2 linked regions of the Drosophila melanogaster genome follow. The protein of the gene in region 2 interacts with the protein of the main gene of each other region in a pairwise test. Each region holds a gene or a part of one and is shown on either strand. Other genes may lie near its edges.

The links. The genes of interacting proteins can lie anywhere in the genome.
Region 1: the proteins of CG5440 (region 2) and nompB interact in a two-hybrid assay, tested with the Drosophila melanogaster proteins (one large-scale study listed by BioGRID).

Annotation. Positions count from the first base shown.
Region 1 is NT_033779.5:21,585,514-21,592,615, forward strand, and holds the start of nompB (no mechanoreceptor potential B), read right to left. Parts: upstream 3,911-7,102; 5' UTR 3,843-3,910; coding exon 3,714-3,842; intron 3,661-3,713; coding exon 3,464-3,660; intron 1,906-3,463; coding exon 1,680-1,905; intron 1,629-1,679; coding exon of another isoform or gene 1,608-1,628; coding exon 887-1,607; intron 1-886.
Region 2 is NT_033779.5:1,330,429-1,337,530, reverse strand, and holds CG5440 (uncharacterized protein), read right to left. Parts: upstream 3,404-7,102; 5' UTR 3,263-3,403; coding exon 2,772-3,262; intron 2,713-2,771; coding exon 2,694-2,712; 3' UTR 2,017-2,693; downstream 1-2,016.

The DNA.
Region 1 (7,102 bases), about 20 Mb from region 2:
GAGAATGTTTGCAAGTTGAGAAAGGCTATATATGGCCTAAAGACGAGTGGACGAAAATGGTACAGAATGCTGGAAAGGAAACTCAAAGATTTGAATCTTAACGGAATACATATCGTATCGCTTGCCGTAGACCTCGTAATAGCGACGAATGACACCCGAATGCTGCGTCAGTTGAAGCATGAGTTGTCCAAAAAACAGATGAAAGATTTGAGCAAGCTATCGCATTGTTTGGGCATAGAATTTAAACAAAGTGAAGGCAAGACAGAGTTTACCATGGGCTAGTCGAATTATATAGCAGACGTCCTGAAACGTTTCAAAACTGCAAGCCCGTAAACACGCCAATCAACACGATTGAAAAATTAACAACAGAAATTTCCCCCACCACCGAAGGCGAAAAGAAAGAAATCTTCAATGTGCCATATCAATGTGGTTATCAATGCCTAAATGTGGTTAGCAGTATTAACGCGCCCTGATATTAAACTTGCAGTAAGCGCACTAAACCAATATAATACCATTTTTTTTTTCAAAAATGTGGGCGTAGCAGTTTTGGGTGGTTTTAGGTTTAAGAGTGGGTGTGCAAAAAGTTTTTTTTTGGAAAATCGATTAAAATTTACAAGACTAATAAAATTATGAAAAAATATACAACAATTTTTCAAAAATGAGGGCGTCGTAGTTTGTAGTAGTGTGGGCGTGTCAGTTTTGTGCGGTTTGTGGGCGTTAGAGTGGGCATGGCAACCTGGGTTACATACTGTTACATACTTTTTAACGAATCTAGTATACCCTTTTACTCTACGAGTAACGGGTATAATTATACAACAATAATTATTATAATACCCTGAATTTATGTTTTATCCTACCTGCTGTATTTTATCTCAGTCGTACTCACCATCATTATAGTTATCTTCGATAAAAGGTGATATTAAGTCTACAATCATTGTAATAGATCGTTTAACGGCATTACGACGTTCATTTCTATATACGGCCAGCTCGTCTTTCTTAAGTGCTTGGACAACATAACGATGTTTCACTGTGGCTGCAAACTTTACGGTCTCGTTCAGTTTACCGCCACCTTCTGCCTTAATAACCGAGCCCGTGACTGGTTCGTTGTTTAAAGACTGGTACCCGTCGGTTTCGCCAATTTGTTGAATCGGCTCAGCCTGCTGTTGAAGTTTAATGATATTCGTCTCACTCTCCATATCCGATTCTATTGCTTCGGTTTGGACATCACAAAGTCTCCGAAAGGCCAACTTTACTTTCTCCACATCGCCCAAGGCGAAGTAGCAGAGTAAGAGGTGAATGCTACTTCTAATGTTTGCCCGCTCCGTCATGATGAACTCAAAGCTAGAAGCAGCATCTGAATAAGAGCCCATGCGAATAAAAAGGATTCCAATGTTTTCACGGATCTTTAGCCTTAACTGACTTAAGCTCTTTGGTACAGAATCAAGGGCCATGCGGTACATTTTAACCGCCTTTTGGTAAATACCCATGCTGTAGTAGATGTTACCCATATTTAGTTTTAGCTGATTGACGTGTGGAAACATCTTGTTTTTGGCCATAATGCTGTAGGTATTGAGGGCTTCGATGTGCATCTCACTCCGTTCGTATTGCTCCGCGAGATTAAAAAAAACCTATAGTCCATATATATTAAAGTTTTAAATTATCCTTCTAGTCGTGCTTACCGCATATGTCAAATCGAAGTTGTGATAAACATTTTCACCGTGCTGGTCTCGAAATTGGTGTAATGTTCTATCCAATGAGAATGCTTCTTTGGCTTTACTCAATGCCTCGGCCAATTTTGTATCCAGGTTCAATAATTTATTGGGTGAGCCTTGCCAGGCCAAAACTATAGATGACTCCAAGAGCTTCACAATTTTTTCCTCTAGATTTTTATACTTCATTTGTGGGCTATAATTTGAATTATGTAAAACGTAATATAAGTTGGTTAGTATTCAGACTTTGGTTAACTCGCTACATAATAATCGACTAAAAGGATCAGATCATTGCTAGTTCCTGATAAGCTTGGAAATGCTTAAGACTTTTCCTTGTTGTTTTGTAAAATTTACAGAGAGAAGAATGAAAAAAGACAGAATTAAAATAACATTTTTAAATTCCACTATGTTTAAAAATTATGTTATGTTAAAAAATTCATAATTATTTACACACAGCTTTTTTAATTCATTTTTGCCTTTTTTATTGAATTTAAACGAAATATTTTATATGGAATATGAGCAATGGAAGTACCGCCTGATTTATGTCTTTCAAGAACTTGGTTGGTACTCGGCCCTTGTGGCATGGAGCATTGCCCTGCTGCAAGATCCAGTCATTCTTGGAGAACAGTCTATTTCCTGAGGTCAATGCGTGCTCATTTAAGATATGGAGGTATCCTGTTTGATTTACTGTACCCTCTATCGGTACCATGTCTCCAAACCCATAGTAGCTTAAACAGCCCCAGAACATCACCGTGACACCACCAAACCGATTGATTGGCTGAACGGCATTACCCTTTAGTTGTATTGGGAAATGCATAAATTGCTTGCTAAAGGATCCCTGAAACTGAAACGCAACTTCATCAGTCCATAAAATATCAAACCAGAATTCGAGAGGCTTCTCTTTTTACTCCAAGGCAAATGCCAGACGATTTTCCTTGTTTCTTGGGGTAATATTAAATACTGCACGAATAACATAGGAGTTGATGTCAACTTCCTTCATTCTGCGACGCAGTGTACTATCGCTAATATGTTCTCTAACTAAATTTTTCGATGCTGCGGCAATTTTAACGGGACTTATGGTGGGATTATATAGTACAACTCCTATAATGTGTCTGCAGTCTCTTGGGTTCAATGCAACTTTTCGGTTAGTTCTCTTTTTATTTTCCAAAATTCCCAATCCAATGTCCTTTTTTTTTACCTAATTGTACACAGTTTTACGTGATATTTTGTATAACTCAGCTAATTTGGATGCAGAAGTACCAGCCTTAATTTTAGTGACAATCTCGGCTCGATGCTCAACTGATAGCTCCTTTGTTTTTGCCATTTTACAAATTTAATGCTTAGTTTTATCTATTAACATAACTGTTAACAGTTAGTTTAAGTTCCAATTAAGCGATCAACATCAACTAGAACTTTACTAGACTAATCTTCAATTTGCACTGTGCAAATAATTTTGAAGCTTAAAAATTGTGTGTAAATACTTCTGACAACAGACAAGTTTAATGCTTCTATTTTTAGCCCATGAACAGTTATTTTTTCCACTTCTTGACAATTGACAACAGAAAAAAAGCACGTTGTGTAAATACTTTTGACCACCTCTGTATGCTTGTAAGTTTATAAGGTGCAAGTGAATAAATACATGAATATAGATTCAGTATACCTTTAACTTCAGTACCTTTCTATTTATTTTTTTTTTACGATTTTTGATAACCCCTTTGATGCAACCGTCCTCTAAAAATAATTTTCTTACTTACTTTACATCCTTTATGGCATCCACAGCGGCTCTTGACGAGAGCGTTTGTTGCTTCGCCTTCTCCAGGAAAAATTGTTCGAACCTTTGATGAGCAGACTCGCAATTAGCAGCGTAGCCCACAGCCCGGACTGCTGTTGATGGTCTTGCAAGACCTGATTTATCGCCTCCTGTTGCCCGACTGCTGGCCAGATTGCCGCGCTGAATTACAGAAATTACACAGCGTTTTAAATTTTTTTTTTTTCAAAACTCACTGAAAAAAGCTGTGAAGTGGGGGGTCTGGGTCTGCCCGCCGCCGTGGGTGGGGGAGGCGGAACCGCTTCATGTTCGGAAACAGGCTCCGGTAATCTTTGCGTTCCGTTAGCAGTTATTTGAGAAGTCATTTTTGTCTCACCGCACTACACGCGTATAATAAGGTTCTCAATCAATATGAACGGTTTTGGGGGTTGGTCTTTGTTTTGGTTGAGTTGCCTTGGTGATCACGTATAAGCAGCACATGCGTAAAAGAGGTGAATAAATACCAATTAAATGTATAATGTAAGAAGGTTGCGGTATTTATTAAACCAAATCATTTTGGTTTATTTTATCATTTTATACTAAGACATTTCTATAAAAGTTTGAATAAGTTTAGTTAATTGTTATCTGATTTAATATAAAACATAAAACCCAATTTCAATTGTTAAAATATTATTATCAGTCGGAAACGCTTCCTTCTGTCTGTTACATACTTTTCAACGAATCTAGTATACCCTTTTACTCTACGAGAAACGGGTATGGACCATACCGTATGGTTTACCTCCACCTTCTGCGCTTATAACCGAGCTCGTGTCTTGTTCGTTGTCTGGTGCACGTCGATTTCGCCACATTGTTGAATCGGCTCAGCCTGCTGTTGAAGTTTAATGATATTCGTCTCACTCTCCATATCCGATTCTATTGCTTCGGTTTGGACATCACAAAGTCTCCGAAAGGCTAACTTTACTTTCTCCACATCGCCCAAGGCGAAGTAGCAGAGTAAGAGGTGAATGCTACTTCTAATGTTTGCCCGCTCCGTCATGATGAACTCAAAGCTAGAAGCAGCATCTGAATAAGAGCCCATGCGAATAAAAAGGATTCCAATGTTTTCACGGATCTTTAGCCTTAACTGACTTAAGCTCTTTGGTACAGAATCAAGGGCCATGCGGTACATTTTAACCGCCTTTTGGTAAATACCCATGCTGTAGTAGATGTTACCCATATTTAGTTTTAGCTGATTGACGTGTGGAAACATCTTGTTTTTGGCCATAATGCTGTAGGTATTGAGGGCTTCGATGTGCATCTCACTCCGTTCGTATTGCTCCGCGAGATTAAAAAAAACCTATAGTCCATATATATTAAAGTTTTAAATTATCCTTCTAGTCGTGCTTACCGCATATGTCAAATCGAAGTTGTGATAAACATTTTCACCGTGCTGGTCTCGAAATTGGTGTAATGTTCTATCCAATGAGAATGCTTCTTTGGCTTTACTCAATGCCTCGGCCAATTTTGTATCCAGGTTCAATAATTTATTGGGTGAGCGTTGCCAGGCCAAAACTATAGATGACTCCAAGAGCTTCACAATTTTTTCCTCTAGATTTTTATACATTATTTGTGGTCTATAGTTTGTATTATGTAAAACGTAATATAAGTTGGCTAGTATTCAGACTTTGGTTAACTCGCTACATAATAATCGACTAAAAGGCAGGAGTAGATCATTGCTTGTTCCTGATAAGCTTGGAAATGCTTAAGACTTTATATACATACATATATGCTCGAATATAGCATTCTCCCTTGTTTTTTTTTTTGTAGAGTTTACAGAGAGAAGAATGAAAAAAGACAGAATAAAAAGACAGTTTTAAAGCCCACTTTATGTTTAAAATTTTTCCAATAAAATAAATATAAATTTCTTTAGTACACTCAGGGGTATCATTCGGGATTTGACCCAAACATTAAGAGCAAGACACCTACACATTGCTGACGTATCACAATCACAACTACATCAAATATTGTTAATTTCAATTTTCAAAATTTCAATATTTGGAAGCAAACTAGCGCTGCGGGTTTGTCTCTAGAAAATTCATGCTTAATCCTGAGATCTCCACGCTCATACGGACAGACAGACAGACGGACATTACTCGGCTATTGATCCTGATCAAGAATACAGATACATGTACATTATAATGTCGGAAACGCTTCATTCTTCCTGTTACATACTTTTCAACGAATCTAGTAGTTACTCTACGATAAACGGGTATAAAAACTCCTATTTATTGAAGTACAAGAGAAAACGCTTCCGGCCTGTAGACAGTAAATAAAGAATAAAATTATTTAATTTTTTTTTATAGACTTTATTAACCCCTTTGTCACCTTGGTCGTTATTAATTCAGCCCTTTCAGGAGCGCCGGCTAACAAAAGTTAGCTGTAACAAAACAATAAAACAAATATAACAATTAACAATATATCAATTCGAGATCATCATCATGTCCTGGCTCTCGTCAAGGGGAACCGTATGATGAGGTCCTTCGGCTGTCTCCTGTGGAGCCTTCTTGGTGGGCGAGCTTTGGACAGTGCCTGTCGTGGTACCGGCTGGAGTGTATGTTTATTGCCTCGAAGACAGTGGCTAGCTTGAGGTCTTTGCGCAGGGTTGTGTTCCTTACGTACCATTCGCAGCCGGTAATCATCCTGGCGATTTCGTTTTGGGCAGCCTGAATGCGACGAATTTGACTGTCGCAAGCCATAATTGGCGCCATAACGCTAACATGTGCGCTAACACTCACTTGCTTCGATAAGGTTAGTTTCCGATCCAAGATTACACCAAGATATTTGGCTGAATTGGACTGGGGGCAGGGGTGCCATCGATGAGCACAGCCGGTGGTGTTCCCCTTTTCAGTGTTTAGCATACATTCGCTGATTTGTCACCATTGATGCCAATGTTCCAACGTCCGCAAATGTTGATGCGCAGTCCTGAATGTCGTCAGAAGCATCGTGTTTGCAGCAGGACCTTTAGGTGCCACACATGTCGTCAGCAAATGTGGCCAACATTGACGTCCCGGGTAGGCTAACGTCTGCCCGTGGCATGTCGTAGCTTTACAGGTAGTAAAGCAGCGGACCAAGTACACTTCCTTGTGGTACTCCGGCTGACAGATACGAGTGCAATCGTACCGCAAATCTTCTCTTTTTAAGATACGACCTCAGGAGGCCGAAGTATGGTGCACGGAGCGTATTCTTAATTTTGAGCAGGAGACCGGAGTGCCACACCTGATCGAACGCTTCACGTACATCCAGGAAGAGTGCAATGCAGTACTCCACTCCTTGTTTTCGAAAGCCGATAGGATTTACTCGGTGTAGTTGTTCTACCGTACAGTGTCCAGCACGTAAACCAAACTGATGATCGGGCTGGATACCCTTCGCTTCCATAATCCTGTCCAACCGGGCAGCAATCAGTCTCTCAAACACCTTCGAGATCGAAAAGAGGAGACTGATTGGCCGGTAGGACCCAGGATTCTTTTCAGGCTTTCCAGGTTTATGAATCATGGAGATAATACCGAGCTTCCACGGTGGAGAGAAGTATTGCAGCCTCACCATAGCGTTGAATAACAATGTATTATTTAAATTAAATAATCCGTTT
Region 2 (7,102 bases):
ATATATGAGCATTCTGTGAGTTACTAGAGGTACTTACTGGAATTGGAAATGGAAATAAACAGGAAAATCAGCTTGCCTTCATTCATACGCTCAGTTGCTTCTCAATAGATCTTAAGACAGATTAAATTTCCCCCGGCCAGCGAAATAATAATAATTTTTCTTACACGCACCCACAGACACCCGTGGAAATTCGCTTTCTTTTTAATGTCATTAAGGACTTGTTGGCGTTTTCGCTTTTGACGGTCCACAAAACGGAAAATAAGTGAACAGCAGAACAGCAGGCTGGGAAAAATGTAAATTTTTAATGCTATTTCAGCGTAATTTGGCAGTTCGTTAGGCTTGCTAAGGAGGCACTCACACACACTCACACACACGCGCAGCCTCGTAAATATGAATAACAACAAAGAGGCACGGAGAAAGCAGGCGGAGAAAGCCGGAAAACCAAGTGCGATACTTGCGGTTATGGTATGTGTGTTTGCCACATGACACATCGTTATGCTTTGTTAATGGACTTCGGGCCCGTTCTAAATAAGGTGAAATTGTGGGGCGGGGGGGGGGAAATGCGTGGAAAGTCTGTCTCGGCATCAAATTATACTTAATTATTCAGATCGTGTTAATTTGCATACATTTAAAAGGATGCTGCGGGAAATTGTCGTCGATTACACTTGACTGCAAAATAGTATCGTAAAGAATTCAATTGATTTGTGCATTTGTAGCGAGAGCACATAATTTAATAAAGACTGCAATTCCACAAGCAAATGTTAATTTATGAAACCTGGCATGTATTAAGCACCAACCCTTTCGCCCAATTTAATTTTCGACTTTGTTGGGCTTAAAGCTTTCGTCCTGCGTCCTTCCTATCGCTCCCAAACCAAAAGTACTCACCTGAGCAAATACGCCGAGCATTCGGGAATGTCTGGCTGCCACACCCACCGCACCAGCCGTCACCCTTTCCACACGCAGCTAGCAGATCCTAAAATGTAACTTTAAACTGCCCGAGGAGAGGCAACAACATCAAACACTTTGCTCCCGGCTTCAGCTCGAAAACTGCATGCGTGTGTTTACTCTGCGTTAATGAAGTTGTGTGACGGCCGGGAGGAGTGGGGCAAGCCGGGTGGAAAACGGGCGGGAAATGGTTGGAAAATGGGTGGAAACTGGGGGTGGCCGTGTCTACGCATGCAGACAGCTTAGCGTCATCAGCGCCCTCGTTGGCAGAGGTAAATGGCAACTGTAACGTTAATACCGCTGCACATGAAGCGCAAACGAAATGAAATTGCAGGCAGGCAGACAGAGATGAAGCTCTATACGGCCACAGCTCTCTTTCGCACTCGGGCGCATCAGACATCAATGTCAGCGCGTGTCTTCTATGCAATTAGTGCTTTTGTTGATTACGCTGCAAATGTGTGTTGGGGATTTTCGCTCGTTTTTGCAGCCGCCGCTTAAAGGGTAGCCAGGGTAGCTTAGTTCCGATGGTGCCCGGGTAAGGCAATAGCTTAAAATTTCAAATATATACTTTTCCCTAATATACGTATGTAGTGGGTATTTACTATTTGCAACGTGGCATTTCTGGTTTTGGGAATGCTTAATGAAAGGGAATTTGAAAGTGATGAGTAAAGAATCCTTACGAAATTTTAATGAGGATTCATAAGGCTTGTGACTTAGGATACAAACTGTGGTAATGACTCAAAAAATATATATCTTTAGACCCGTTTTCAAATAGCTTGTGTTCTAGCCAATAGCCTGACCTATTTCAGCCAAGCACCCTCGTCACAATGATCTATGCGGCCAATCAGAAACACAGCTGAAAGAAGTACCAACATTTTAACAAATTGTTTGAAGAGCAAGCATATTTATAAATATTAAAAAATAAGAGAAAATCAAAGCGGTAGCTGGGGATGAATCCAGTTAAGGACGGCACAAAAAATGGGAAAACATTAAACAGATTTAAGCAAATTTGTTCTGCTGCGGATGCCATCAATAACTTTGGCAGCATATTTGACTTCCTACCCGGTTTTTGGTCCGCCGAGGGGTTGGTTGCCAAAAAGGGTTACCCATCGAAAGAATATGCTTTTCGATTTAGCTGCGAACTCCAGCTGACTTCTGCTAATGTTTGTCCTCCTCCAACTCCGGTTTCATGCAAATGTGCCCCACTTCGGTGTTGTTTTTCCGACGAGTCGCCCCCGCTTGGCCATCAAATTGCCCGAAAAAGTATGCAACACTTGACAGTTCCTGGCAGCGACGTGGCCTGTGCTAATTTCGTGTTTCCTTGGCCCCAACTTCAAATCGATAAGCAACAGAGTGGAGCTCACCTACTTTGCCACCTTGCCTCTTTGCTTGCTGCCTTTGTTTCGCAAAGTATATATTTTCGCATGAAAAGCACGAAGTAGATGTCAAAAAAACATTTTCAATCCCCAACGAATTTTCGTTTTCGCCTGGCGGAAGTTTGTTGGCAACGCCATCGGTCGGCCACTCGAAAGTATTACCACAATGGGCGTAGGTGTCTGGTCGTGGCAACGTTCCCCAATTGCGGCATGAGCAATTTTCAAAGTTGTCAATGAAAAGACAAAGAGGTACCGAGTGATTAATAGATTTCCCTTCAATATTATGGAGCAGCATATGTATATTTCATATAGCACAGTAGTGAACAACAAAGACGTCTGACGTCAGTCATCGATTCGAAGCGAAGCTGCCATCTATTCGTCTTTGGCATAACTAAATAAATTGATAAGGATTATTACATAGTTTTAAGAAAACAAGTTCCAAATTACTACCGTTTGGTCCAGAGGCGCGCTTTCTTGTCATGTTCTGCTCTATTCTTCAGATATTCCGTGCCAATTTTGGCCATCAGCGGATCCTTGGGATTGCAGTCGGTGAGTAGGGAGCAAATTGATAGCAGAATCTTCGAGATGGTCAGTGCCGGTGACCATTTCTCCTTCAGGATATCCAGACAAATGAAGCCCAGGCGGTGGATGTTGCAGTGATATATGGGCGTGCGAAATATAACTACCGGTGGAGCAAAAGGATACTCAACCGGAAAGAATATGTCCAGCTTGAATATTCCGTTCTCGTAGACGGAGTCCGCGGGTCCGATGATCGTCGAGGTCCACTCGTACAGGTTGTCCTCCTTCGGACCAGCACTGCAGTATTGCGGCGGATCCCTCGTAATCTCGTCCAGCTCCTTCTGGATTCTCTTAACCGCGCTGTTGCTGCATGTCCAGCTGCACGAAGGTGTGCCATCCTCGGCAGAAAATAGCCCTTCCATATTTTAATTGGCTTAAGTTCTTAAAAATAAAACCCTTTTCTTTATCGTGCCGTATTATTGTATATGTGGATAACTCGACCGATTTATTTGACAACTGTGCTAAATTGACATGTTACTCCTTGAACATTTGATGAGTGTTTCTGTTGTCTAAAAAGTATGAAAATTTTCTGTACCAATGTACCCGTGGTACTTTCAAGTACCCTGTAATAAAATCAGAAGCTTTTTTGCACTTCCTGAATATTGAACCAGGTTGACTAGAGGCAAAATATTTGCTGTATCCTACTCCACTTGTCTCTTTCAGCCACTGAAACGACCAAGGATTGACATATTTCAAGTGTCGAAAATCGAATATGACGAAACCACATTTCGTATTCACGAGCTCGCAATCTTCAAGACTCAACTTGTTAGGGAATCTAGTTTGTAGTTTTTTATTCAATCAGTGTTAAAAAAGTGGAACGCTTTAAAAAATAGTATGAGAAACGACACAGCTCTTTACAGCTCTTAAGAAGTGTCAACTTTATGGAAATAATTAGTGTTTTAATTTTGCATAAAATGAATGATTCAAATATTTTACAAAAGGGGTATTACCCCGAATACACAAGCTATTATAAAGGTTTTAACTATGTTAACTATTCATCCGCCGCAACTAAAATTACAACCAAGTTGCATTTGTGGCCAACTTGGTTTTAAAGTTTCTTGCGATTTAAAATGTAAATAGCCATCAATTAGCTGTAAAACGGGCGGCATATGCAGGCTGAAAATTGTACACACATTGCATCACAGAAGGACGCGCCACCATTTTGCCGTCTGTCACCTGGCATCAATGCCCCAGATGCCGCAGGCGCTGTTTCCCCTCCCCGCTTTCCTGTTCCGCGCTTTTCCTGCACTCCGCTCTTCCTCCACCCGTCCCCGTAAATAAAAACCAACAATGCAGCCGGCCAAGTGGGACACCCCAGCGGTGGGCGGTGGGCGTGGACTCTGCTCCATTGTGCCTTTGTTGGCCACTTTTTTTCGCCCCCACTGTTCATGAGTGCGTGTACACGGGGCATTGTTGGAAGTGATGCCCGACTCCGACTTGTTGCCACATCATCGTCATCATCATCATCATCATCATCATCATTATGGCCATCGCAGTCCAGCAGTCGGCCTGTAATGAGCTTGCCATTTTATTTTATTTATTTGTCCGCGCTTTGTTTCAGACGACAAACAGCGACAGCCGTGGAGAATTCCTTGCTGCATTTTAAATTCAAATTAAATAATGATTTAAGTGCCCCAAGAGGCTTTGTCAGCACACAAGTGCAGCGGGTGGTGGAGCTCTCTGATCCCCCGATGGGGTGAGTCAGGTGCAGAAACCTCCTCAGGTGTGCCGTAGCCAGATAAGTCCCTTTTCACAGGCATTGTTTCAATACAACCCGTGCTTAAGAGCTGGCAAATGATGTCCTTTTTAATCATTTCAACTCAGACAGAACATTTAACTGAAATTATTTACTGGATCGTACAGTTTTAAGCGCACTTCGTAGTCATCATTTAAAGGAGTTCCTTTTATTAAGCAATTTTTTTTTTAATTTCACAAACTACTTGCATAATTTGTAGTCTAAATAAATTTCAGTACCTTTTAAATAGCTCACCCCCTTCGTTTTTGGCTCGACCCAGTTTTTAGTCCTTGAGCTCCAATGGGGTTTATTCGGTTGCAAAATACGCAACTGTCAGGACTCGGGGCAAGGACCTCTGGGGCATGCAAACTGCTATAGAAATACCACTCAATCGGGGAAATACAAATTTAGAAAGGGATAGACAGAGGGAGAGATAGAGAGAGAGGGAGATGTACGACAGAGGGAGACAGCCAGATGGAAAGTTGGACAGTCGGTGGCAAAAGGCAGAAATCAAATTACAATTTCAATATGCGATGCGTACTAAATGTCTGCTGGTGTCAGTTTTGGCTTTCAATGTGCAACATGCAACTTTCAACTTGATGCTTGCGATTGTGTGTGGGTAAGCGTGCTAGAGTGTGTGTGTCTGTTTCTGGCTGCTACATTTTGATTTGGCGCCACACAAAATGGATTTCTTGCCTGTCCATTCAAAACATTTCTATGTGGGGCCAAAAGCATAGAGATGCGAGTCACAAGTTTTTTTTTAATTTATAAAAATTAAATTAACAATTAGAAATTAATATATATTTATACTATGTTGTAGATGATGTAAATAGCCTGCTTAACAGTATGAGTATTTCTGATTTATTACCATTATTACTAAACCTATATTAATTCACTAAGCGAAAGAATAAGCAAGCTATTAAACTCCAGACTGAAACGTCGTAATTTACGGCCTAATGCCGACTGATTTGGCCATCTCTAAGCTCAGATACAGTTTACGTTTGCATTTCGTGTGCGTTTCCCTGTCACTTAATGGAATTTATCACATTTTAACTGTGTGACAGGAGCCAGGCTGCCGGTTGCAGGGCTCGGACATTTGGCAGAAGCAATCCCCCGCGTCCTGGACAGCCCGCATCCTGCACATCCTGGTCCTGCTCATCTGCATCAGTCATTGGCATGCATGGGAAATGGTGGCCAAAGTGTCACAGTTATTGATTCGGGCCATAAATAATGCATGGCCAACAAGTGTGCCGGCTTGTTTATTTATTACATGATTTATTCACGCAAACAACGCTCCAATTAAAAGCGTTTTTAAGCGATTAAGTGTAATGTCAAATCCGGTAAACTGGCCAGAAAACTTTGCCCCAACTTAACGACTCCAGACAGCGATTATTAAATTAAAACGTGCACGGAAAACTTTCCAATCCCGACGAACGATGGAAAACTTTCAACTCTCTCGCATTTTCTTTCCCTATAATTTAATTTCAGTTCCTTTTTTTCGCCTTCCCAACTGCAACGCATAATTTATTATGCGGAGCAAAATCTTGTGCACCAAATTTGTCACATGGGATAAATAATAAGAAGGAAAGTTTTTTCGCAAAAAATTCACGATGATGAGGAGCCGCAAGAGGAGGCCATGGGATTCGGGCTAGATTACTCATACGCCCGTTGGCAACTTGGAGGAAGAACAGTTTCCCATATAATAGTGAGATCGGGCGAGCGTGAAATTAGAGCTAAGCTCGGAAAGATGAGGCTTGGGAATGGGCGATTTATCATAGGTTTATCATCAGCGATGACGGTGGATTTTCCAGAAATAAGTGTGTCAACAAGAGTGTGTATGTATAAGTATATAACATTTTTTATAGAAAATAACAAAACTATTAAAGAGTAAAGTTCACAGGTGACTTAAGATTTATGCTGTTACTTGATTAATAAGATATCACGAAGTTAGTTGCTTTTGTTTACGTTTATTTATATGACAACGATTCACTACCATTTCCAACTAAATCCAATTATTCGGCTGATGTTGTGGTCTTTTTTGCCTTTTTATATGCCGTTTTAATGGAGTAACAAGCAAATCGGAGCTAGATCTCTGAGCTTTTTATCGGCGAGACAATTGTCTTGGAACCGCCACTAAATATGTCAGAATAAAGGCAAATTTATACACAAACTGATAAACAGAAATACCAACAAAAGGAAAGCCGGAAAGGAAAAAGGAAATTCATTGAAGGAAAGAAAAAAGCGAAGGAGGGCACGAGTTTTTGGCTGGAGGGGTGCAAAGGCAAAGCTGCAACAATTCCTATCTTGACACTGTCATCTATCCGACTGAAACTGGGGAAATTGGCCCGACACCGGGTTTTTCCACCGCCCGCTCGCCCCGTGGAAAACCGTCTTCATCTTCGCTTCCATCTTGGGCCGTTTGTTGTTGCCTTGGCACGCCTATCACTCGAATTGAATCAAATTACCT